Cricetulus griseus: one gene and its partners. Each later gene encodes a partner of the first gene's protein in a complex. Links are inferred from orthologs where the notes say so. Each region holds a gene or a part of one and is shown in the gene's direction. Other genes may lie near its edges.

Evidence for each region.
Region 2: the proteins of histone H3.3A (region 1) and Dnajc9 are in contact, whole or in part, in a crystal structure (PDB 7CJ0), measured with the Homo sapiens proteins. The link is inferred for Cricetulus griseus from reciprocal best matches to the Homo sapiens genes H3-3A and DNAJC9. Residues at the interface, in NP_001365972.1 of Homo sapiens: Ala88, Ala92, Glu95, Ala96, Gly103, Leu104, Glu106, Asp107, Asn109, Leu110, Cys111, Ile113, His114, Lys116, Arg117, Val118, Thr119, Ile131, Arg132; in NP_056005.1 of Homo sapiens: Glu196, Ala197, Glu199, Ala200, Glu201, Ser203, Arg204, Leu207, Leu209, Gly212, Val213, Leu216, Lys217, Ala219, Ile220, Gln221, Arg223, Gln224, Arg227, Met231, Phe234, Met238, Tyr242.
Region 3: the proteins of histone H3.3A (region 1) and Morc3 are in contact, whole or in part, in a crystal structure (PDB 4QQ4), measured with the Homo sapiens proteins. The link is inferred for Cricetulus griseus from reciprocal best matches to the Homo sapiens genes H3-3A and MORC3. Residues at the interface, in NP_001365972.1 of Homo sapiens: Ala2, Arg3, Thr4, Lys5, Gln6, Thr7, Ala8, Arg9; in NP_056173.1 of Homo sapiens: Pro406, Asp407, Gln408, Thr409, Trp410, Val411, Gln412, Trp419, Asp424, Leu429, Pro430, Glu431, Trp433, Glu450, Glu453.
Region 4: the proteins of histone H3.3A (region 1) and Carm1 are in contact, whole or in part, in a crystal structure (PDB 5DWQ), measured with the Homo sapiens proteins. The link is inferred for Cricetulus griseus from reciprocal best matches to the Homo sapiens genes H3-3A and CARM1. Residues at the interface, in NP_001365972.1 of Homo sapiens: Gly14, Lys15, Ala16, Pro17, Arg18, Lys19, Gln20, Leu21; in NP_954592.1 of Homo sapiens: Gln148, Tyr149, Phe152, Tyr153, Gln158, Asn161, Met162, Asp165, Glu257, Pro258, Met259, Gly260, Tyr261, Glu266, Val340, Leu412, Thr413, His414, Trp415, Tyr416, Ser447, Lys470, Pro472, Phe474.

What each region holds. Positions count from the first base shown.
Region 1 is NC_048598.1:13,481,632-13,486,947, forward strand, and holds the end of histone H3.3A, read left to right. Parts: intron 1-4,068; coding exon 4,069-4,197; 3' UTR 4,198-4,706; downstream 4,707-5,316. UniProt on the Homo sapiens protein: Variant histone H3 which replaces conventional H3 in a wide range of nucleosomes in active genes. Constitutes the predominant form of histone H3 in non-dividing cells and is incorporated into chromatin independently of DNA synthesis.
Region 2 is NW_023276807.1:200,586,959-200,592,960, forward strand, and holds the start of Dnajc9 (dnaJ homolog subfamily C member 9), read left to right. Parts: upstream 1-2,675; 5' UTR 2,676-2,753; coding exon 2,754-2,933; intron 2,934-3,105; coding exon 3,106-3,246; intron 3,247-3,335; coding exon 3,336-3,590; intron 3,591-5,789; coding exon 5,790-5,876; intron 5,877-6,002.
Region 3 is NC_048597.1:3,964,529-3,970,511, reverse strand, and holds the start of Morc3 (MORC family CW-type zinc finger protein 3), read left to right. Parts: upstream 1-2,656; 5' UTR 2,657-2,772; coding exon 2,773-2,811; exon of another isoform or gene 2,812-2,946; intron 2,947-5,983.
Region 4 is NC_048597.1:134,414,754-134,420,750, forward strand, and holds the start of Carm1 (histone-arginine methyltransferase CARM1), read left to right. Parts: upstream 1-2,670; 5' UTR 2,671-2,715; coding exon 2,716-2,938; intron 2,939-5,997. Other genes in the region: CUNH19orf38 (protein HIDE1), read left to right, coding at 110-241. UniProt on the Homo sapiens protein: Methylates (mono- and asymmetric dimethylation) the guanidino nitrogens of arginyl residues in several proteins involved in DNA packaging, transcription regulation, pre-mRNA splicing, and mRNA stability.

The sequences.
Region 1 (5,316 bases):
TTGAGTTTGAGATCAGCCTGGTCTACAAAGCGCGTTCCAGGATAGGCTCCAAACCTACACAGAGAAACCCTGTCTTAAAAGAGTTTAGGCACTGAGATAGATGCCTCTGGTTAAAAGCACTGCTGCTTGTCCTTTATTTCCCATCTGTCAGGCAGCTCACAGCCACCTGTAACAACAGGTCAAGGGATCTACCCTCTGGGCCTTGCACACTGGCATTATTGCATGGATATGATGCACATGCATGCACAGATAATACATTAATCTTTTTAATTACATAACTAACTCAAAGATAGCTTCTCTGTCCCTCCAACATTCCAAAAATCCCCAAAAGATCCCCAAAACTGGATGATTTCAAATCCTATGTATAACCTGGGTGGTCAGGTGGTTTTATGTGCATTAAGTAGTAATTTATAACTTAGACACAATATCAGACTGCAACAGTAAAGGAGGTGGTACAGTTAGAACAATGCACTTTTGTAGTCCTAAATAGAGTTTAAACCTAGCGTCTCCTGCTTCCTTGGGTAAGCACTCTATCTACACTGAACTATTCCCCAGCATTATTTTAATGTGGGTGGTTTTTTTTTTTTTTTTTTGAGACGGTCTTTCTATGTAGTCTGGTTGTTCTTGAAGTCACAGATCTGCCTGCCTCTGACTCCACAGCGCAGGGATGAAAGGTATGCATTACCATGCCTGGCCAACTTGTCTTGAACGTGCAGTTTTCTTGCCTCTACCTTCCTGAGGTGCTAGCTTGCATTGCTGGCAGAGTATACTGTTAATAAAAAGTTTAAATTTTATGAAATGTGTGTCAGGTATGATGGCTCACACCTGTATCCCTAAGACTGGAGGCTGTGGTGGGAAAATGATTTAAGGCTAGCATGGGCTAAATTGAAACCTAGCCTCAATAAAAATAAAGTGTTTACTTCTAGCTTTTCCATTTAATGTGTTCAGATCATGGTTGGCAGTAATGAGAGTTGTAGAGATGACGAAACAACTGAAGGAAAAGGAGTATGAATGTAGCTCCAAGAGGTAGAGAGATTGCGGATAATTGGGAACTGACCAATGTAATAATGCTTAGCTTTTACCCCAAGTCAGAGAGCTTGAACTAAAATGTTTTTATATTAAGAATGGACAGTATTGAAGCAGAGTCAGACTATAAATATGCTAGGTGTGGCAGTTCACAGTCTTTAATCCCAGCACTCTCAGGAGGCAGAGGCAGGCTGATCTGACTGCAAGGCCAGCCTAGACTTCAGAGGGAATTTGCGGAAGAGCCAGGGCTACACAGAGAAACCCTGTCTCGAAAAGCAGCAATGTTATAAATAAATTAATATCTATTCATAAGTTGCTTTTTCTTACCATTTCAAAATTGTATTCCTTGTGTTAAAAATTAATGTGACAAGTGTTTATTTTGATACAGGGTCTTACTATTTAGACCTTGGCTTAGAAGTCAGATTCCCTGCTGGGATTGAAGGCATTTTATACCCTGCTGGACCCCCTTTATAATTTTAGTGCTATAAAGGGATTTAGGAGCATTTGGTAAAAGATTTGGGAATATATGTGTGTTCAGTAATCTTCCAGAACACAACCCCTAGAAGCAAACAGTCTCAGATACATGACCCCAGTGGTACTCCCAGAACAGATTTTTGTTAATATCTTTGAGGCAGGGTCTTGCTAAGTTGTCCAAGCTAGCCTTGAACACATGGATCTCCTGTTTCACCCTCCAGAGTAGGTAGAGTCCTACTGTAGGCAGAGCTGGAGAAGATTTAATGAGGGTTAGGTATAAAAAGCAAACTAACAAGCACTGAACATGTACATGAGAACCAAGCGTTACATGGAATGAGATATCTCTTAGCAAGTTAACTGAAGGGTATTAAAAGCTGACTGGGCCGGGCATTGGTGGCGCATGCCTTTAATCCCAGCACTCGGGAGGCAGAGGCAGGCGGGTGTCTGTGAGTTCGAGACGAGTCTGGTCTACAAGAGCTAGTTCCAGGACAGCCTCCAAAGACACAGAGAAACCCGTCTCAGAAAACCAAGAAAATAAAAAAATAAAGCTGACTGGTGTGAATGCACAGGAACTGAGGTATAACTTAATTACCAAGAACGTGTTCCTTCAAGGAATCCTTTTTGAGCCAGAACTTGGATATTAAGACTCCTAAGTGTTAAAGACATAGGAATAGTAAATTTTGCATGAAGCTAGATTTTTATAGAAGTATGATACTAAGGATTCCTTATGGATGAAGATGGGGCTGTAGAGTTAGCTTCCTTAAGTGCTTGTCTTGCAAACATGGAGGCCTGAATTCAATCCCTAACACCCATGTAAAAAGCTGTGTGGTAGGTGCTTGTAAATACACTGAGAACAGGGGCTCAATGGTTAACCTGCATAGCCTGGCTCACTAGTTCCAAGTTTCTGTGCTGGACTCTGTCTCAAAAAACAAGGTGAGACTGGGAAGATGGTTCAGTCATTAAAGTGCTTATCATACCAGCATGAGGACCTGGGTTGAAATCCCCAGTACACACAGAAAGGGGCACAGTGTCTTTCATCTCAGTGCCAGAGAATTGGAGATAGGCAGATCCTTGGAGCTTGCTGGCTTACCAACCTAGCTAAATTGAAGGGGCTCCAGTTTTGATAAGGAGCTCTGTCCCAGTAAATAATGTGATAAGAACTGACAAAGGAACCCAATTTCATCTCCTCTCATGCACACACACAGGTGGCTCCTGAGGTTGCTCTCTGGCTTCTGTGTGTACACACAATGCCTTCCCACTCAAATCCATACATACACAAAGGACGAAGTTACCAATGTGAACGAAGGGCAGCACCAGTGGTAGAGTGCTTGCTTAGCATGCACAAAGTAATTTATAAAAACTTTCCAGATGTGTATATTTTATGTTGAACCATATTCCTCTTCACTTCCTTTGTTAGTATATATATAAAGCAGAATCTTAGTTTTGTTGTGTGACGTATTGGTGAAAGGGGATGCCACTAGGCTACATTGTACTCCAATTCCTATCCTGGGAATCGTAGGAACATCTTTTAAAATGAAGCTATTTATTTGTGTGTGTATGTATACATTCCACTCAGAACAACCTGCAGAAGTTGGCTAGCCGCCTTCCATCCTGTGGATCCCAGGGAACAAATAATGCCAGCATTTGAGTTGTAGGCAGGGGTCCCAAACTTTGGGTTCTCTCATGTCTCGTTACAATTGTCAATTAATGGTTCATGCAGCTAGCAAGTTTGGGGTGGTAATGCCCTGGGGAGCTGGGCAGTGTTGGTGCCCGGCTTTAATCCCAGGACTCAGGAAGCAGAGGCAGGTGGATCTCTTGAGTTCCAGGCCAGCCTCATCTACAAAGTGAATTCTGCTCAGGACAGGCTCGAGAGCCCAGTCTCAAAAAAATGCCCTGGGAAATCTTACAGTGAAAGGAGAGGGGAAACAGGATCAGCATTCTAGAGGGCAGGAAACACCATTATGCATTGAGGATTTGGAAGAAAGTACTTTGAAGCTGGTTACACAGATAAGTCAACCAATCGATGATGTATTCTGGAACCCTTCCTTAAGTACTCCTGTAGAACTGAAAGGAGAACAAGAACAAGGTTCAAAGTATAAGAATGTGGACAGGCTCAGAGGTGAGGGGGACCTGTTCTTATTGCTGCTGCCGTGGTTGGTGTCAGCCTTTGGAGAGGTGTTGGGCTGCATACAATTCCCTCTGTAAGGGTGGGAATGTTAGAATTGGTTTCTTTGAAGTGTCTTGGTGCTTTGTATGATTTTATAAAAATTTATGAACTTATGCTGGATGGTGGTGGTGAATGCATTTTAATCCTGGCATTCCAGGGGAGATATCCTGGTCTACAAAGCAAGTTTCAGGACATCCAGGGCTACACAGAGAAATCTTGTCCAAAAGGGAGGTGGGGTATGAGCCTAAGCATTTTGATAGTTTTTGGTGTGTGTGGGTGTGTGTGTACACCGTGTGATGTGAACATTTGATAAATTAAGTTGTGATAAAAAAGTAAGTTTGTAAAGGGTTTTACTATTATATAAGTGTTGGAAACAATAGTAATTTTTCTTTATTTTGCAGGAGGCAAGTGAGGCCTATCTGGTTGGCCTTTTTGAAGATACCAACCTGTGTGCTATCCACGCCAAACGTGTAACAATTATGCCAAAAGATATCCAGCTAGCACGCCGCATACGCGGAGAACGTGCTTAAAAGTCCACTATGAGGGGAAACATTTCATTCTCAAAAATTTTTTTCCTCTTCCTGTTATCAGTAGTTCTGAATGTTAGATATTTTTTCCATGGGGTCAAAAGGTACCTAAGTATATGATTGCGAGTGGAAAAATAGGGGACAGAAATCAGGTATTGGCAGTTTTTCCATTTTCATTTGTGTGTGAATTTTTAATATAAATGCAAGATGTAAAGCATTAATGCAAGCAAAATGTTTCAGTGAACACATTTCAACAGTTCAACTTTATAACAATTATAAATAAACCTGTTAAAATTTTCTGGACAATGCCAGCATTTGGATTTTTTTAAAATAAGTAAATTTCTTATTGACGGCAACTAAATGGTGTTTGTAGCATTTTTATCATACAGTAGATTCCATCCATTCACTATACTTTTCTAACTGAGTTGTCCTACATGCAAGTACATGTTTTTAATGTTGTCTGTCTTCTGTGCTGTTCCTGTAAGTTTGCTATTAAAATACATTAAACTATACCTGCTTTTGGTCTTTATTATTAATCTCACAGATAAAAATTTAATATCCAGTGATTATCAGCTTTTGTGTGAGACAAAACTCTTGAGAAGCAAGGCAGTGGTGTCACATACTTTTAATCCCAGCATTCAGGAGGTAGAGGCAGTTGGATCTCTGAGTTTGAGGCCAACCTGGTGTACAGATTGAGGTCCAGGATAGCCAAGGCTACACAGAGAAACCCTGTCTCCAAAAAGCCTCTTGAGAGACATAGAAAAACAAAGTCATCAGCTGGAGTGTCTGGAGAAACCCAGAGTACAATCATAGGCACATACTATCAAATATCTAATATGGTTTCTCACTGCAACAGTCCTAGCTGTACTGGAACTTTGTAGACCAGGCTGGCCTCAAACTCACAGGGATCTCCTTCCCCAGTGCTTCACCACTGCCCACTGGTCTTGCTTTTTTTTTTTTTTTTTTTTTTTTAAGTTATTCAAGCACCAAACATTCATTAACCCGTTTTAATTAGCATTGCAATGTTTAAGGTAAAATGTGTGGTGATGGGCACTAATAACACTGAAGGAAATGAAATACTAATCTTTGGGCCGAAAACAGACTATAGTCAACAAGGGCAGT
Region 2 (6,002 bases), on another chromosome or scaffold:
GTTCAAATGTTTTCTTGCTCTGCAATCCCCCTTGCTTGCTTGTTATATGTGATATGTAGACCAGACTGGCCTTGATTGTCAGGTCTCCTGAGTTCTGGGATTTCAGGTAGAGCTACTCTTGCCTGACCCAAAAGTTCCCTTTATCACTTGGGATCGTCCCATAGCTCAGGAAGAAGTTACCTTGTTTAGTAATTGTGTTAGTGGAGATTTATGTTATTTTCTTGATACATGATCTCAGGTTTACAAAGATGGGTTGTAAAAGTTGCTTTGGGGCCTTAATACCCTAGCCACTCACCCCCAAGACAGGGTTTCTCTGTGTCACAGCCCATACTGTCCTGGAACTTGGCTCTGTAGACCAGGCTAGCCTCATACTCAGAGATCCACCTGCCTCGGCCTCTGAGTTCTACCACCTTTTAAGAGAGTAGATAGAAGGAAGCTAATACAAAGCCCCTTCGTATAGTCAACTCTGTACGGAGAAGTTGCTTGTGTATTACAAGTACCACAACTGTAGTTCAGTTATATCCATGTTCACAGATGAGGAGGGAAACTGTACCTCAAGAGTAGGAAACTCTTCAGAGTCCATATGTCTACCTACAGAGTCTTCCTACACACGTTGTTGCTTATATGAGAGAAGAAGTGATAAGAGAGAGCTTTTCCAGAGTTAGTGGTAGAGGTCCAGGAGGTGGCTCAGGGGGTACCAGTGTTTTACCATGAAGTTCTGATTTCAAATTCTTTGAAGTCTTGTAACAGGAAGTGGAAGAGTGTAATAGCAGGCAGCATCCTCTACAGGAGCATGGGCAGGAGAGACAAAGGAATTTTCAGACATAGGCCAACTGGTGTGCACAGTGCAGAGGTCCAAAATAAAGGTCTTTCTCTGGCCTCCACACGTGTTGTAGCATGTACATGCCCATGTACTCACATGTCAATGTGCACACATACACACATCATACACAGAAGATGGTCAGTGATAGAATTGTGTTTGGGTATCCTGAGTTTGGTATGTAAATCGGAGGCTGTATGAAATAAAATCTAACATCTGCTTCACCAGGACAATAGGACTTTACAGCTATATGTATGAATTACATGTTGAAGGGACCCTAGCCCACTTGAGCTTGTGACTCTGGCAGGCCTTGCCCTTCTCCCCAATTCCCTCTGCCTTGCTAAAAACCGTTAGATTATATTCCTAAAGTTGGCCACCAAGGTCTATTCTTTTATTTGGCCACTTCCCCCTGAGGCTGATTACCAAGGTCTGGCTATCAAAGTATTAAATAAGTTCAGCAATCAAAAGCCCCTTTTGGTTCACCCAATTAACATGCCTAACTAAAATATATGACACATTCTAACCCTTTTTCTCTTCTCAAAAATTACATCAGCAAGATCATTTGCTGCTGTTTTTCTGCCTGAGTCAGAAAGCAGCCACTTTAACTTTTCTTTCCCGCTTAATAAAGGATCTCTGTGAAAACATGTTTGGGTGTGGTTTGTGCCTAATCCGGGGGTTCTGGAAGAATCTAAGGAAGCTAATGCTCTGGCTTGTCTTATTAGGGTTCTGAAAACATTTACTAGCTAATTAAATTAAGCTCTGTGTTGAGGCTCTCCAGTGTGACTGCTGGTTTTCCTTCACTTGTCATGAGGACACCTTGAGAGTAGAAAGGGACTGACTTTTTTTTTTTATTAATTCAAGTTAGGGAACAAGCTTGTTTCACATCTAAGTCCCTTCCCCCTCTCCCTCCCCTCACCCCCATCTCTCCTCCTCCACCCCCAACCTACGCCCCACCCCATCCACCCACCACTCCTCAGGCAGGGTAGGGCCCTCAACGGGGGGGGGGGGGGGTGGGGTGGGGGCTCTGCAAAGTCCACCAAATCTTCCTGTCCTGGGCCTGGGCCCTTCGGGACTGACTTTAATTGGCTTTGGTTTTTAGATACTAGGAGGAGGAAAAGCTGAGAAACCACTGAAATGTTAAAAATTAGAGATTGAGTCAATATTAGGTCCACCAAAAATGTGACTGGAGCAGGCGAATGGGATTAATTCTGTACTGTCAAATATATATGGCCCTGGGAGATAAAAGATATTTTGTTTTGGTTTTTTGAGACAGGGTTTCTCTATGTAGCTTTGGAGCCTATCCTGGCAGTTAAAAACTAAGCTTTTGCATTTTGTTACACACAGGCTTTTTCCTGCAGGGATTCAGGGGTTCATCCAAGATGATGTCTTTTGACCCTGTAGTTGTACTGCTTTAGAGGACCATCTTTAAAATCACACACACATTAATCTGTGGGTAGAGCATGTTAAATTTCTCAACGCTAACACATGGCCACTTCTATTACGTTTACTTATTTTGTGTGATGTGTGTGTGGGTCCTGGAGGTCGTCAGGTATGGCTGAGCATCCTGGCCAGCCCGAGTAACCGCTTTCTATTGGGAAACAGTTATATATCTCAGGTGTCATCGAGTGAGCTTCTGTGCAGGAAACCCGGAGGCAGCTTTCGGGGTAAGGAGGAGTGCAGGGTCGCGAGCCAAGAGGACGCGCCCTGGTTGGCAGGAGGCTCCGCCGTCAGCACGCTGAGGGCGGTATTTTACTTTCGCAGGCGTGATCGAGTCCACTTTGCGGCTACCGTAAAGCGCGGTTGGACCCGCCCACGACGCGCCTCCTGTGACGCAGACGCCCAGTGTTTTTTTTTGGGCGGGAAAAGGAGGCGGGCGGGCGGAGCGGCTGTGGGTGCTGGTTATCGGCGTTCTCGGAGCAGCCTCTTCCCAGTCATGGGGCTGCTGGAGCTATGCGAGCAGGTGTTCGGCACCGCCGACCTCTACCAGGTGCTGGGCGTGCGGCGCGAGGCTTCCGAGGGTGAGGTCCGACGCGGCTACCACAAGGTGTCTCTGCAAGTGCACCCCGACCGTGTAGACGAGGACCAGAAAGAGGACGCCACCCGCCGCTTCCAGGTACGTGTGTGGGCCCGTGTTCGGGCGGCCACCCCGACTCCTCCCGCTCTCGCGGAGACCCCCACCCCCGGGACAGCGCACTGCTGATAACCGGCCTGGCATTTTAAAGCATTTGTAGCCGCACGGTGTCAGCGAGAGATTCAGGGTGACTTTGGGTGCTCCTTGCCTGCAGATCTTGGGGAGAGTCTATGCGGTTCTGAGTGACAAGGAGCAGAGAGCAGTGTACGATGAACAGGGAACAGTGGACGAGGAATCTGCTGGCCTCGACCAAGACCGGGACTGGGACGCGTATTGGAGGTTACTCTTTAAAAAGGTAAAAAGGGCTTTAGTGGCTTTGACTAATTCCCGTCGTCCAGCCCACAAGGACAATTCTCGAATTAAAGCGATCTTCTTTGTTACTAGATATCGCTAGAGGACATTCAAGCTTTTGAAAATACATACAAAGGCTCTGAAGAAGAGCTAGCTGATGTTAAGCAGGCCTACCTAGACTTCAAGGGCGACATGGATCAGATTATGGAGTCTGTGCTTTGCGTGCAATACACAGACGAACCCAGGATAAGAAACATCATTCAACAAGCCATTGATGCCAAAGAGGTCCCATCCTACAATGCCTTCGTCAAAGAGTCCAAACAAAAGATGAATGCAAGGAAAAGGAGGGTAAGTTTGAGTGTTGTTCATAACCTATCTCGGCTGTTTCAAAAAGGGATCTTGGGAGTATTTACAACGATGGAAATAAAGACTGCTGAAATATGGGCTGCTTGACCTATGGCACTCATCTACTAGATATTCTTGTCAGATCATGAAGAAAACCCTGGTTATTTTGTTTTCTTCTTCTTTTTTATTTTTGGTATGTTGTGCTGATAATGATTTTACTTTATGGATTGTTTGAAATCATCATACAGTGACTCTGAAACACCTTTCACATGGGGCAGCTTTGCTGAAGCTGTCCTAGGGAGATCTAAGGAGCCTGGTTACATGGCAAACACTGTGGTCCCTATGTGATTGGTGAACAGGGAGAAGATGGTATGGCTGTTAAGAGTGCAATGCTGGACTGTGGGCTCCTGATACTCAAGCACCAACAAGACTAAGAAATTGCCACTTCTGGGGTCAGGCTGGCGGTGTGTGAATCAGAGCTGGATTGGTTGTCTAGTATGTAGTAGGTCCTGAGTTAAGTCTCCAAAACTGCTCAGAAGAGCGGGAGAAAACAGAGATTGATTTTTTTAATTCTGTAAATGCATATAGTTATTAAAAACTTTAAACTAAGGGGCTGGAGAGGTGGCTCAGTGGGTGTGTACTGCTCTTACAGAGACCCAAGTTCAATTTCCAGCACCAGGGTTGGGTGGCTCATAACTGTCTAACTTCAGCTCCTAGGGATCTTACACCTCTGGTCTCTGTGTAACCACGGAGTAACTCTCCAGACCCCACCTACTACTGCTGCTGCTTTTTTTTTTTTTTTTAAAGCACACTTGAAGTGAGTCTTTCTGCCCCCATTCTGAGGAACACCTGATTGCTGAGAATTGAGGAATTGAGGGTTGGGACTTGTGATTCTTCATACCCCTGTTAAGCCAGGGTTGGTAGGGATGGTAGCATAGGAATTCAAGGTAGCAAATGTCTGTGTTGATATTGCCTTGGACTGCTATTAAAGCAATAGTTGCTTCATCTTGGCTTTCACAGTGAGAGCTTCCCAGGGAGCCAGCAATTTAAGATTTTACGTATCTGGTGGGTACATGAATTGTCTTTTTTGTGGCTCAAGTGGACAGGCAAAGAGCCAGAGCTTTTGGATACATGAAATTGCAGAGAAATCTGACCTTTGTGGATGGAGTGAGTTTAGGGCCTGTTTTGCCCAGATAAGAGACTGCCATGTCTGTTGCTCTGAGGGAAGAAGTCATTTCATTGCATGGCTACATCTGCTTAGAGTCATGCCCGCTGCTTGTTAATCCTCTCAGGTAAAACTGAGAACAGCTGGATTCAGACATACAATTTTACTTTGAGAAACTTGAGAGTTTGAAGGGGGAATGACAGTTTGAAAGCTGTCTAACCAGTGTGAAAGGATTGAGGGGGGCTGAGAGGCGAGAATAAAGCAAAACTTGTTTTGTTCCAGAATAACAAGATCCCAATTTATTATTATCCCCAGTATTAATGAAATTCTTTGTTTATTAGAAAATTTTACAAGGAATTAGGGCCTCATATTATTGAAGTTGCTGCCTTTAGGTGTTCTTTTGGTATTTTGGCAAATTTTGTTAAATGAAGGCAGCTTTGAAGTCAGACTAAAGCCTTTGAAGAAAGGCTGAAACTGAATTTGCTAATGTTTTTCCTAACTACTCAGAAAACTGCGTGTGTGTGTGTTTGCTGGTGTGCTAGGAGTGCAAGAGTGTGGGGGCCCAGAGAGGCTGAGAGGCTGTGATTCCCAGGAGCTGGAGTGACAGGCAACCTGATGTAGGTGTCCGGCATGTCCTCGAAAAGCAAGAAGTTCTGCTAACTAGTGAGCCAGCTCCAGAGAGAGCCTTTAAACCACTGGGGTTCACAAGGCTGCCACCAGTGCTGTGTACAAAATGGGGTTTCAGCTGAAGGTCCTGAAGAATCTTGACACCTGGCGTCCCTGGCTATGTGACCTTCCCCATCCACCTAGTAGGCTGTTTTCCTTTGTGTGAACACCTGGTTTGTGTCTCTAGGAAGTACAGCTGGGGATAAAACCAAAGGGCATATTGGAACCAGAGCAGTGTATGTCATCTTCTAATGAAAACCACATGCAATTTTATCCATGTGTCTCCAGCTGTAGAAGGGGCGGGGGGGGGGGGATGTGTATTTTCGTTATTTCTTGGTTGCCATGAAGTCTGATGAAACTTTTCTGTTTAGGCTCAGAAAGAGGCTAAAGAGGCCGAGTTGAGCAGAAAGGAGCTGGGGCTGCAGGAAGGAGTGAATAACCTGAAAGCACTCATCCAGGTAAACGTGGCAGGCTTCCCTCTGGCTCCCTCACAGTCCTCTCACCATCCCTTATTGTGTGTATGCCCTTTGGAAAGGAGGCTGGTGTGTTTCTTTTAAGGCACAGTTACACACAACTTACATCAT
Region 3 (5,983 bases), on another chromosome or scaffold:
GGGAGTGGCTCTATTAGGAGGTGTGGCCTTGTTGGAGGAAGTGTGTCACTGGTAGTGGGCTTTGATGTCTCAGATGGTCAAACCAGGTCCAGTGTCTCCCTCTTCCTGCTGCCTGCCGGTTCTGATGTGGAACTCTCAGCTACTTCTCATGCGTCAGGTCTTCCTGTGTGCCAACGTGCTTCCCGCCATGACGACAATGGACTGAAACTTTGAACTGTAAGCCAGCCCCAATTAAATGTTTTCCTTCATAAGAGTTGCTGTGGTCATGGTGTCTCTTCACAACACTAAAATAAAAACCTCAACTAAGCCAACTATTGAGAGAAAGAAAACAGTTTGGGCCAGGAGACCCATGGCTCTTTATAGCACAGTCACAAAGCACCTGCCTCTACCTCCCAATGTTCCGTTGCATGAAGCCCCGCCCAGGAAGGTATCCAGTCATTCTCTGCCTATAATATCCTGTCCTATTTAATCTTTTATTTTTGTAATTTTAAAACATGCATTTTTATTTACATGTATGAATGTTTGCCTGCAGGTATACATGCATACATTTAGAACCTGTGAACATCTGGTATCTCAGAAGACAAGAGAAGTGTGTTGGATCTCCCACAACTGGAATTATAGTTGTGAGCTGCCATGTGGGGACTAAGAACTGAACCTAAGTCTTCCTCAAGGGTAGCCAGTGCTCTTGGCTCCAGAACCATTTCTCCAGTGCTTCTCTGTTGATCCCAATCCAGCCCCTTTCAATCTCTTCGACTTGGCTTTGTCATCAGTGGCCTTTCCGGAATGAGTGGATGCTCCTTTCATAGCTCCTCCAAGTAGAAGATAGGATTAGGATGGGGACAAGATCCAGCCAGAGCCAACCAATTCTTCACTAGGGGCAAGAATACCACATTCTTAAAATGAATAGAACCCATGAATGGCGAGGTGGATCAGTGGTTAAGAGCCCTGGCTGCTTTTCCAGAGGACTGGTTTTAGTTCCCAATCCCCACATGGCAGCTGGCAAATCACCTGTGACCCAGTTCCAGGGCCTCTGATGGCCTCTTCTGGGCTCAGGCAGGCAGTGTTTAATTGATAGCGGGTCTGGAATAAAGAGCACTTTATCTGCAGAAGAGGAGCCGGGAGAATTCAATGCTCTGTATTACTTGAACTTTCACACAATCTTTCACTGGAATCTCCAGCTAACTCCTGCTTGATCTGGAAAGCCCCTTTCCTCTCTCCCCAAGCCCCGCCCTCTCAAAGAATCTCCAACAGAGAAAAGCTGCCAAAAAGCCCAGTTCCGCATTCTTGGCAGCTGAGGCAGCTCCTCCCCTGGAGTTGCCAGCTGCCCAAGACCCCACCTAAAGTTGTCAGCTTTTGACCATACTTGGGACACAAACCCAGCTTGTGGAGGGCGTGTCATCGACCCTCGCCTACAGGGTATATAAGCTGCCTGCCTTAGCTCGGCTGCCTTATAAGCATTGCAGCTCAGACAGTAGGGAGCCAAGGGGTACCACAAAGTCATTGTAAGCGCAGCAGCTCAGGACCCTGCTCCAGGGAAAGGTTTCCCAATGACACAGCTCTGCTCTGACAGGAGCAGGCTTCCCCAGCCAAGCTGTACAGTTCTGCTTCACTAGGGAAGGTTTTCCCGGAGAAAGTCTTACAGTTCTGCTCCGCTTTGTTGAAAAGTTGTTGTCTCCTCCGCTCCATTCCAGCGGAAGAAGATCTCACCCAAACCTCATTCAAGAGATTTATTGGTAGGAAAGAATCTAGAAGGGTGGCTGCCTCCGCCAGGGCGGGAAAAGGCAACCAAGAACTGAACAGGCCCTGGGGTGGAGATTATCAGGGTGGGCATTGGTCGGATTTGAATCCCTGAGTTTGGATAAGATCAGTGATTGGTTGGTTTTCCTGCTCAGGGATTGGTTGGTTTTTGTACTCGGCCAGTCAGAGGCAGAGTGTTTCTTTGGTTCTGGTTTCAGGGCCAGGGTGTGTTTCTTTGGCTGGACCTTTCACCCTCCACGCGTGACCTCTCCGGCCCCGATGTCTGGGGCTGAAGGACTTACCTGGCAGTTGCTTTCTCAAATAAGCCTGTTGTTTTGCTTTTCCAGTTCGGCTTGGCCCGGCTTACCTACTATCCCGTTACAGAAAACCTACTGAAAGTGTAACTCTGGTGAGGTGGCGGTGGATACTCTCGCAAGCCTCTCATCCCTGTCTTTGCCTGTCCTGTTCGCCTTGCTTGATTCATTCCTACATCCGACTCAGTGCAAAGCCGGGCTCGACACACAGTGAGTCAACGTCTGGCGCACTACGACGCCAGATGAGAGCTGGCCTTTCTCAGGCCAATCTAAAGAAAAGCACCATTATTTCCTTGCGAAGTTTTTGTCTGGTAAAGTTCCAATGACATCATTACCAGCGGACACGGGTCACACCCGTGCAGGGCGAGCCTCATCCGAGTTGAAGCTTCCTCCACACTCACGCTTCTTCTTCGCGCCAATCTTCACCCTCAAGGCGCAGCCACCGGGCGCGAGTTTGTGTCCGCCGGCCCGCCGCACGCATGCGCCCGGCGCCGGAGCCGCCTGCGCGCGCAGCAGGTCAGACTCGGTCGGGCAAGCCCCGCCTACGCGCCCCGCGTAGGCTTTGCCCGAGGCGGAAGTTAGTGGGCGGGGCCGCGCGGGTCGCCCCGCCCAGGAAGTGGGCGTGAACGGAGACCCCCCCCACACCACCTCATACACGGCGGACTCAGCCTGCCAGTCGGGTTGCGGCCGAGGCCGGTCCTGGCTTTGTAGCTCTCTCAAGATGGCGGCGCAGTCACCCAGCGGGATCCGCCTCAGCGCGGTGAGCAGCCGCGAGGGGAGGAGCGGCCGGGTCCCAGGAGGGCGGGCGGCGGGCGGTGGCAGTGGGCGCGGCGGCCGGGGGTCGCGGTGCGGCCGCGGAGTCGCCGCCATGTCGCTCGGCTCGCAGGAGCGGTGGGCGGCGTCGGTGCGGCGCCGGCGCGGAGCCGGCCGGCGGGGCGGACCAGGCTGCCCAGCCCCAGCCCGGCCTCCCTTCCCGGCTCCGCGGCCGCCGCCCGCTGTCGTCGCAGCCGCGCCCTCGCCCGCCCTGCCCGGCCCGGCCGGGATCGGATCGGGGGCGGCTGCGGCGCGGGCGGGCGGCGGGCGGACTGCGGGCGGCCCCGCTGCGGTGCCTCTCCCCCGGCCGTGCCCGGGCCTGCGGTCCTCCCGGGGACCAAGTTGGGAGTGGTCGCACAAAACCACTCGCACTTGGGGTCCAAACACCGTGGGCGTGGCTTCCGCACCTGAGGATTCCTCCTGCGAAGTTTTTACGCTCGGCGGGCACCGAGGCCGCCCGCAGGCGGGGAGAGCCCGGCTTCCGCAGCCCGGGGCTCCCGGTCGGAAGCGCGGCTGCAGGGGCTGCCCGGGATCCCCGCGCTCGGGCCAGCGGAGCCCGCAGATCCTCGAGGGCACGGGGAAGCCCTGCCTCCAAAAATAAAATAAAAAAAAATAGGCTCTCGGTGTTAGATTTCATCGCTGAGCGTACGGGTTTCCAGAGGTTGTCGCTGGCACAAGAAGGAGGCATCTGCGGCCCTCCCTCCTTCCCACCCTCCCTCCCTCTCCCCGCCCGGTCCATTCATTTGGCCATGCTCGCCCTGCAGTGCTCTCAGGCGGGATGGGATGGTCCCAAGTGGGAGTGAGGTGTTACCTGGCTTTGTTGCCCCTGCCCGTTTGTGAAGTTATCATTCTTCACATCTGTTTTGTTGTTGTTGTTGTTGTTGTGTTCTAATTGCCCGTTCGTACAGATTGCCCATTTTTCTCCACATTTATTTATGTGCATGAGTGCTTTGCTTGCACGTGTGTATGTATGTTACCCACCCCTGTGCCTGGAGACCAGGAGGGACTCAGGTCCCTTCACTTACTGAGGGAGTGAGTTGCCTCGTGGGGTACTGGAAACTGAACCCTGGTCCTCTATAGGGCAGTAGGTGCTCTTACCACCAAGTCATTTTTCTGGAGTCCATAGTTTGGCCATTCTTGCTTAATCCCCTTTCTTTTGATTACATCTTCCAAGTTAAGGACCTTTAGTTACATAGTTTGTTTAATGAAATGGTCTTTAGTAGTTAAAAGAGAGTAACTATTCCTTTTTTTTTTCTTTCTTTCTTTCTTTTTTCTTTTTTTTTTTTTTTTTTTTTGGTTTTTCGAGACAGGGTTTCTCTGTATTGTTTTGGAGGCTGTCCTGGAATTCTCTCTGTAGACCAGGCTGGCCTTGAACTCATAGAGATCTGCCTGCCTCTACCTCCTGAGTGCTGGAATCAAAGGTGTGCTCCACGAACGCCCGGCTAACTTTATTTTTTCTTTCCACTGGGGTTTAAGCATTCTGCTCCCCAACTGGGTTAATCTGACACTCACCACTCTTAGAGCCAAGAGTTGTTCCCAGGGAAATAGTAGAAATTATTCTGTCTGAGGCCTGGAGAGATGGCTCAACCTTTAAGAGCACTGGCTGTTGAGAGGTCCTGAGTTCGACTCCCAGCAATCACACCAAGGCTCACAACCATCTCTAGTGGGATCTGATGCTGTCTTCTTCATAAAGGTGTACGTGCAGTTAGAGCACTCATACATAAAAAATAAATATTTTTTTAAAAAAGGAAGAAAAGAAATTATTCTGTGTAAATTATGGGTGGCCAAGGTCCTGGACCAGGGATATAAATTGCCCTGAATAGTGAGGTGGTGGTGGGTGAGGAAGAGGCAAAGCTCTGTGAACTCTTTTAAGTTTCAGGCTATCTTGATGTGCATAGATGAGTTACAGTCCAGTCAGAGTAACATAGTAACCGTTTCTCGAAAAGAAAGATTGAAATGAAGCAAGCAAACAAAATTCCTTAAAGTTGGCAGTGTTGCCCCATGGAGTGTTCTTGAGACCCACTGTAGCACTGTAGTAAAGTGCATAATTACTAGCTGACCCTGGGTGTGGCAGTGGTTAGAGGGCTAATTTGGCACAGGCTCTTGGAACCTCAGAATTTTTTTCGACTGTCTGCTTTTGGTTCATGACTAGTTGGTATAGTATAACTTACGAACCAGATCCAGCCTGGCACCTGTTTTTGTATGGTCTGTCATCTAAAAATGAGCACTCAAAATGGTTGGAAAAAAATTCTGTGATGTATGAAATAAATGTTAGTTTCCATAGTCCTATCGGGGGGATACCATGTGCATTAATTTTCCTATAACTGTGAGATCCTTGGGTTAGGAGAGAATCTAAAGATGAATGGGCTTTGTAGTTATCAGCCTTAACGTATGCAGACTTTATTTAGAAATACTCACCCTCCCCCCCAATCCAAGTCCTTGGACATGCTAGGGAATTATGCCATCTCAAACGCTCTTGATAGACCTTTTAGAATGTGGAGTGCAGAGAAAAAAAATAATTGTTTCCATCTTCTCTAGTTGTAAGTGAAATGCTCAGACCATTGGTTGCTGTTTGTTGTGTTCTCTCCACCAGAGAGGTCCTGTGTGTCAAGCTGGCACAGGCTGACACACTGCTCCCATGAAATGCATGCTGCCTTTATTTACTTTCTCTTGTTGGAGTTGCTCTTTTCTTTTCAGATATGCCTGCTGTTGTGCTGTGATTGCATTTTCTATACAGCCTTTTATTTTCCCTGGTTAGTCGTTGGTGTATATTTTGTTTGTTTTTTTTTTTTCTATATATATATATATCCTGATCACTTTCTAAAGGACATAGAAGTCTTTTTCCAGCATTTATCAGTTAGGAGTACTTGGCTGGGTAGTGTCTTGGACTTCCTCCCTTAGTGAACACTTGTCTAGTGACTGACATCACAAGCTGGGCCTGCCCTCATGACCTCATCCTGACATAGGGAATTGGACATGTGACTTTAAAGGACAAGGCACTTAGTTTCTTTTGTACCCAGAGTTCCATTCTGAATGATGAGTTGCCCATACAGGATTGTTTTAGGTTTTTGAGGAACCACCATACCATGTTCCCTGGAAGCTGTACATTTTACATTCCC
Region 4 (5,997 bases), on another chromosome or scaffold:
TACGGGGCTGTGGGGGGAAGGGATGAGAGGGCACCTAAGAATTTGGAATAGGGAACTCCCAGATTCTCACATCCCAAATCACTCAGTTGTTTTTCTTCCATGGACAAAGAAAATGACTCAGGAAGACTTGGTGGCAACCCTGGATATGCATCCTTGCAACTCAGGGCCTCAAAAGACGCCCACCTCTACACCATCCTCTCCGGAGCTCCCTGAGTTCAGCACTTTCCGGGCCTGCCAGTGAGGCAGAGGAATGAGGATGGCTTGTTCTCCCAGTCGCACTGCCCACAGATGCACAAGCTGGACATCTGTCCAGAGACTTGGTAGTATGGAGGGGTTAAGCCAAGGCTTTCTAAGGGGATGGACTGGCCAGAGGAAGGGGACTCCTGGTGTTGTGACCTTCCTCACAGAAGAGAAGGAAAAGAGAGTATCAGCCTAGAGGCTGGACAGAAAGCCAGAGCCCCTTTGTAGGTTCCCTGGATTGGTGACAGATCGCCAGAGAAGTGTCACCACTGCATCTGGACACCCAGCTGGGCATAAAAGGTCTACATTCTGTACCTCCTCTCCCACACTTCCCCAGCTGCACCTGACTTTCAGACTGTGTAGCCCTGTCTGTCCTGAACTCACAATGTAGACCAGGCTGGCCTCAAACTCACAGAGATCCACCTGCCTCTGTTTCTAGAATGCTGGGATTAAAGGTGTGCACCACCATGCCCAACTTTAGGATGTTTCTGCTGTTGTTGTTTGAGACAGGGTTTCTCTGTGTAGCCCTGGCTCTCCTGGAATTCACTCTGTAGACTAGGCTGCCTGACTCTGCCTCCCAAGTGCTGGAATTAAAGGCATGCACCACCAATGCCCGCCGGGTGTATGTTTTTCTTTTTTTAGTGACACAATTTCACTTTGTAGCTCAGCCTGGCCCAGATATCACATCATCCTGTTTCTGCCTGAGATTACGGGCTTGTACCATTGGAGGTGGGAGGCTGGGTGTTTTGTGAATCCTGTTGGCATAGCTCCTGTTAAAGTAACAACCCTAAGGCCTCAGGTAATCTTTCAATTTGGGATTGCATGGCTTTGGGGGTGGGGAGGGAGATGAATTTGGAAGTACCATACCACTGAACTTCAGTTGGGGATGCAGGAAGGGAATGGAGTTTTGTGACCAGGAACGTGGGAACAAATGGGTCTTTTTTTTTTTTTTTTTTTTTTTTTTAAGATTTTATTTATTTATTATGTATACAGTCTATACAGTCTTCTGCCTGCACGCCAGCCCAGCAGAGGGCACCAGATCTCATTCAAGGTGGTTGTGAGCCACCATGTGGTTTCTGGGAATTGAACTCAGGACCTCTGGAAGAACAGTGCTCTTAACCTCTGAGCCATATCTCTCCAGCCCCCGGAAAAAAATGGGTCTTAAGGACCAAGAGTAAATGAAAGGTCCCAAACGGCCCAGCAAAAGGTTAACAGCAGATGACACTGTCGAACACAGTATCTAGCCATCACTGGGGGACCTGAGAGTGAACTGGAGGGAAGCAAAGGTCCTGGGACGAAAGACTGAAATACAATGAGAATGCCAAAGTCTGGGGGGGGGTGGGTTCAAAGTGCTTTTATAGTAGAGCAGCATGGGGCGGGGGCCACAGATAGCCTGCAAGCCTGCCCCTTATCGCTGGTCCTTTTCCAACCAGCAAGAGGACAAGGCGGAGCGCCTGGCTAAGGCAGGGGGCGGGGCCTAGCACCAAATTTGGAAACCATCCTCCAGATTCCCCAGGCCCAGGAGCGGTCATTTGCGGGACCCTGGGCAGGAGACGCCCGACCTTCCCGAGGCAGAGCACCGCCCCTCGACTCACGCTTCTGCCACGCCCTCAGAGCGCCGGCTTTTGGCTACTAACCGAGGCCCTTCTGGGGCGGAGCCAGCTCTCCTCGGGGCGTATCCTAGTGGCCGAGCGCTCACCCCCGAGCGTGGTCTATCGCAGGACGCCGGCTAGGGGCGGAGCCCAGCCACCGAGGGGGCGTTTCTTCTTAGTCGGACGCGGGTCCCAGACTCAAGGCCCTCCACCTTTCTTGAACTACTGCAGTGTGGGTACAAGGCAAGGCCGCTCGCGTGCTTCCCGCCTTGGGGCGTGGCATGGCGGGGCGTGGCCGAGCGGCCGAGCGCCGCCCCCTGACGCACACGGTGCTACAAAGCGCGGTGGTTCACAAAACGCCGGCCTGGGGGCGGGGCCGTCTGGGGTCCTTCCGGGGGCGTGCCCGGCAGGCCAAGCACCGCCTCCTGACGCATGCCCTGCCCATCTCTCCAGAGCAGCTGCGCTGTGGCACAAAGCGCCGCTTACACGCAACGCGGCCTGGGGCGGAGCCTAGCGCCCCTGGGGGCGTGCCATAGCGCTAAGCACCGCCTCTCGACGTAGGCTCCTTTACCCGGCGTGCCGGGGCGGCTTAAGCCACCTCACAAAGCAGCGACCGTTCCCGCGGGGTGGGGCCGGCCCCACCCACGTCGTGCTCGCTCTCGCCGGGCTTTCTCAAGCGCCAGCAGGGGGCGCTGCGCCACCGAGCCCGGCCCGTGGCGGCGGCGGCGGCGAGGCGGCGCGTGGCCGGCAGGCGGCGCGCTGCCAGGCTCGGCCTCGGCCTCGGCCTGCGCGCGCGGCGGCGGCGGCGGGCGGCCTGGGCCCGGGTGCGGCGGTGGCGGTGGCGGTGGCCGTGGTGGCAGCGGGGCCTGGAGCCGGACCTAAGATGGCAGCGGCGGCAGCGACGGCTGTGGGGCCGGGTGCGGGGAGCGCGGGGGTGGCGGGCCCGGGCGGCGCGGGGCCCTGCGCGACAGTGTCGGTGTTCCCCGGCGCCCGCCTCCTCACCATTGGCGACGCGAACGGCGAGATCCAGCGGCACGCGGAGCAGCAGGCGCTGCGCCTCGAGGTGCGCGCTGGACCAGACGCGGCGGGCATCGCCCTCTACAGCCGTGAGTGCTGGGGACACCCTGGGGACGGCGGCGCACGAGGCCGGCAGCGCGGGCGCCGGGGGAGGGGGCGGGCGAGGGGACTCGGGCCGAGCTAGTGCACGCGGCTCCCTGAGCCCGCCGGCGAGATGGCAGAGAAGGCGTGCGCGGGGACCAAGGAACCCCAAGAGGGGCGCGGGAAACAGTCGGGAGCCTGAGATTTGCAAGGGGGGGGGTCGTGGCAGGAAGTGGGGCCCCGAGGATTCAGGGGGGATGATACAGAGGGGCCTGGGGAGAGGGAGCGATTGAGAGGGCTCTTGAGCGGGTGTGGTTTGTAGATCTCATCTCAGGGGGCATCCTCTACACACGCATAGGGACATTTGAAAAGTGGCTTTCAGTGTGGAGCTCCGGGAAGACTGGGTGCCGCCCTTGTGGAGAAGGACTTGGGATTCGGGACCCCCCCCCACCTCTCGATTGGTAAACTTTAGAACTGGACACAGAGATAAAGATTCCCACCCCCATCCCGCATGGAAACGTGGAAGAGGGGCAGGCCGGCTTGCTGATGGCCGGCTTTAGAAGTCAAGAGGTAACGCCACCTCCCTCGACATGCGCCTCCTGTCTTCTTTTTTAAGGACGTGAGAAGCTGGTGACATTATCAGAGGCGGCTTCAAAAACTGACATTTCAGTGGGGGAAAGGGGGTTAATCACAGTGTGTTTGCGAAGGGCAACCCCCCACCCCCAAGCTTTGTACTTCCACCTTTCATTCTTTCTCTTGTTACTTTCTTCTGGCGGATTCCTCAGTGTCATTTTGCTATTCTGTTTCATGGTCTTTGTCTCCCAGGGTTTCGTTCACTGATGCTCTTAAGGGGCCACCAAAGAGAACTGGATTGGTTTTGGCCTGTGGGAATCATTTCCCCCTCCTTGGTAAATGGGGTGTTGGGAAGGGAAATGTGTGTAGCAATCCTGTAGCAGTCCGTTCAGATGGGTTCGCCTCTCTTTGCCTTGACTTTGAAAACACAGGAGAAAGAAGTGTGTCTGGTGCCCATATGTGGGGCACCTTTGGGGACTTGGGCAGAGCTGGGATCTCCTTGACCACACGAGGGAAAGGGGAATTTCACAGATTAGGAATTTAGGACTAGTAGGGATGCGAAGCTCTGTAGGACCCCAGGCCCCTAGGTAAGCTGGAGGTACCTGGGCCTACCCTGGAAAGTGTTCTGGGAAGCTGGCTGTGGTGGCGCCGGCTTCCCTGTGGGCACAACACTTGGTAATCTGAAGTAGGAGGACTGAAAGCTAGAGTAAAGCTTGGGTGATGTGGGCAGAGCCTGCCGCAGTCGCCAAGACAAAGTTCTGGGTGGCTTGGGTTGTGAACTTGACAAAAACATTTTTATTATTTATTTATTTTTGTTTTTTTAAGGCAGAGTTTCTCTATGTAGCCTCGACTATCCTGGAACTCACTATGTGGACCAGGCTGGCTTCAAACTCACAAGAGATCCTCCTGCCTTTGCCTCCCTAGTGCTGGGATTAAAGACAAGCACCACAATCACCCAGATAAAAACATTTTTATTTATACAATTTATTATATTTACATAATTGTTAGATCCCACATAATCCCTTACACCCAATTTTATTCTTAGAAGCTCATCTTATTCCAGGGGAATCTTTACAGTTTGTGTTCTTTTGCTGTAATTATCTAAGTTGCCTGGGGGCTCAGCGTGGATGAGGATATGGGTTCTGTTCCCAGCAGTGAAATAAGATGATCATGAACTAGGGATATTGCTTAAGTAGAACATTTACCTAGTAAGTTTGAGGCCTTGGGTTAGATTCCCAGTACCACCAAAGCCCCCAAAAGCAGTCCTAAAGTGCCAGGTGTGATGGTGCAGGCCTGAATACCGGCATTTAGGATACTGAAGCAGGGGAAATTCAGTGTCGTGCGCCCCCCCTCCCAGGGTTTCTCTGTGTAGCTTTGTAGACCAGGCTGGCCTTGAACTCACAGAGATCCATCTGCCTCTGCCTCCCGAGTGCTGGGATTAAAGGTGTGCGCCAACACCGCCCAGCCACCCCATTTTTATTACATATAATTATCTATTTGTGTTTGTGTAGGGGTATCTCATGTCACAGTGAGAATGTGGAGATCAGAGGATAACATTCCAGAGTTGGTTCTCTTTCCACCATATGGGTCCTGGGAATCAAACCAATCTCATGAGATTTGGTAGCAAAGTACCATTACCCACTGAGCCAGTTTTGAGACAATCTTGTGTTTTCCAAGCTAGTCTTCAACTTACTTTGTAATCCACAGTGGCCTTGAACATTGTGTTACTTCCACTTCCTTTCTGCTGGAATTATAGACTTGAACCACCATTCCTAACTTTGGGGCGTGGTTAAACATGGGTTCTGAAGACAGGCCAAAGCTGAGTGTGTAGATTTCCAATGGTCTTTGTAACAAATGATAAGTTTGGTGGATTAGAGCAGTTGGGATATACTCTCTCACTTCCTGGCCACACTCTGAAATCAAGGTGTCTGCAAGGTCACTCTCACTCTGGAGTGGAAGGAAGAAGATTCTCCCTCTTGCAGATTCTAGTGGCTCCAGGAACTCCTTGGCTTTCTGTAGCCAAACTCTAATCACCCCTCACTTCCTGTGGCTTCTCATTTGCCTCTGTGCACTTGTTTCCTACTTTTGTTTTGAGATGGTCTCATGTAGCGCCTTCTTGGGGCCCCAATGCTTTGGTCAAGCCCTAAGACACTGACCTGTTCATTATGAGGCTGTATGCTTTCAGCCAAGCTGTGTTTCCAGACCCTAGGGTCTGAATTTGTACACAGGCTGTAAGGAGGGTTTATCAGAATACCAGAAGGAATTTTTTTTTTTTTTTTTTTTTTTTTTTTTAACGATTTTGGAGACAGGATTTCTCCTGGAACTTTCTTTGTAAACCAGGCTGGCCTCAAAGGCGGATCGAAGAGATCCGCCTGCCTCTGCCTCCCTAGTGCTGGAATTAAAGGCGTGCGCCACCAACGCCCGGTCAGAAGGAATCTCGTAGTGCTTCACATGTGTAGAGATCTCTGTGGGTCCTGTAAGGGCCCTGAATTAA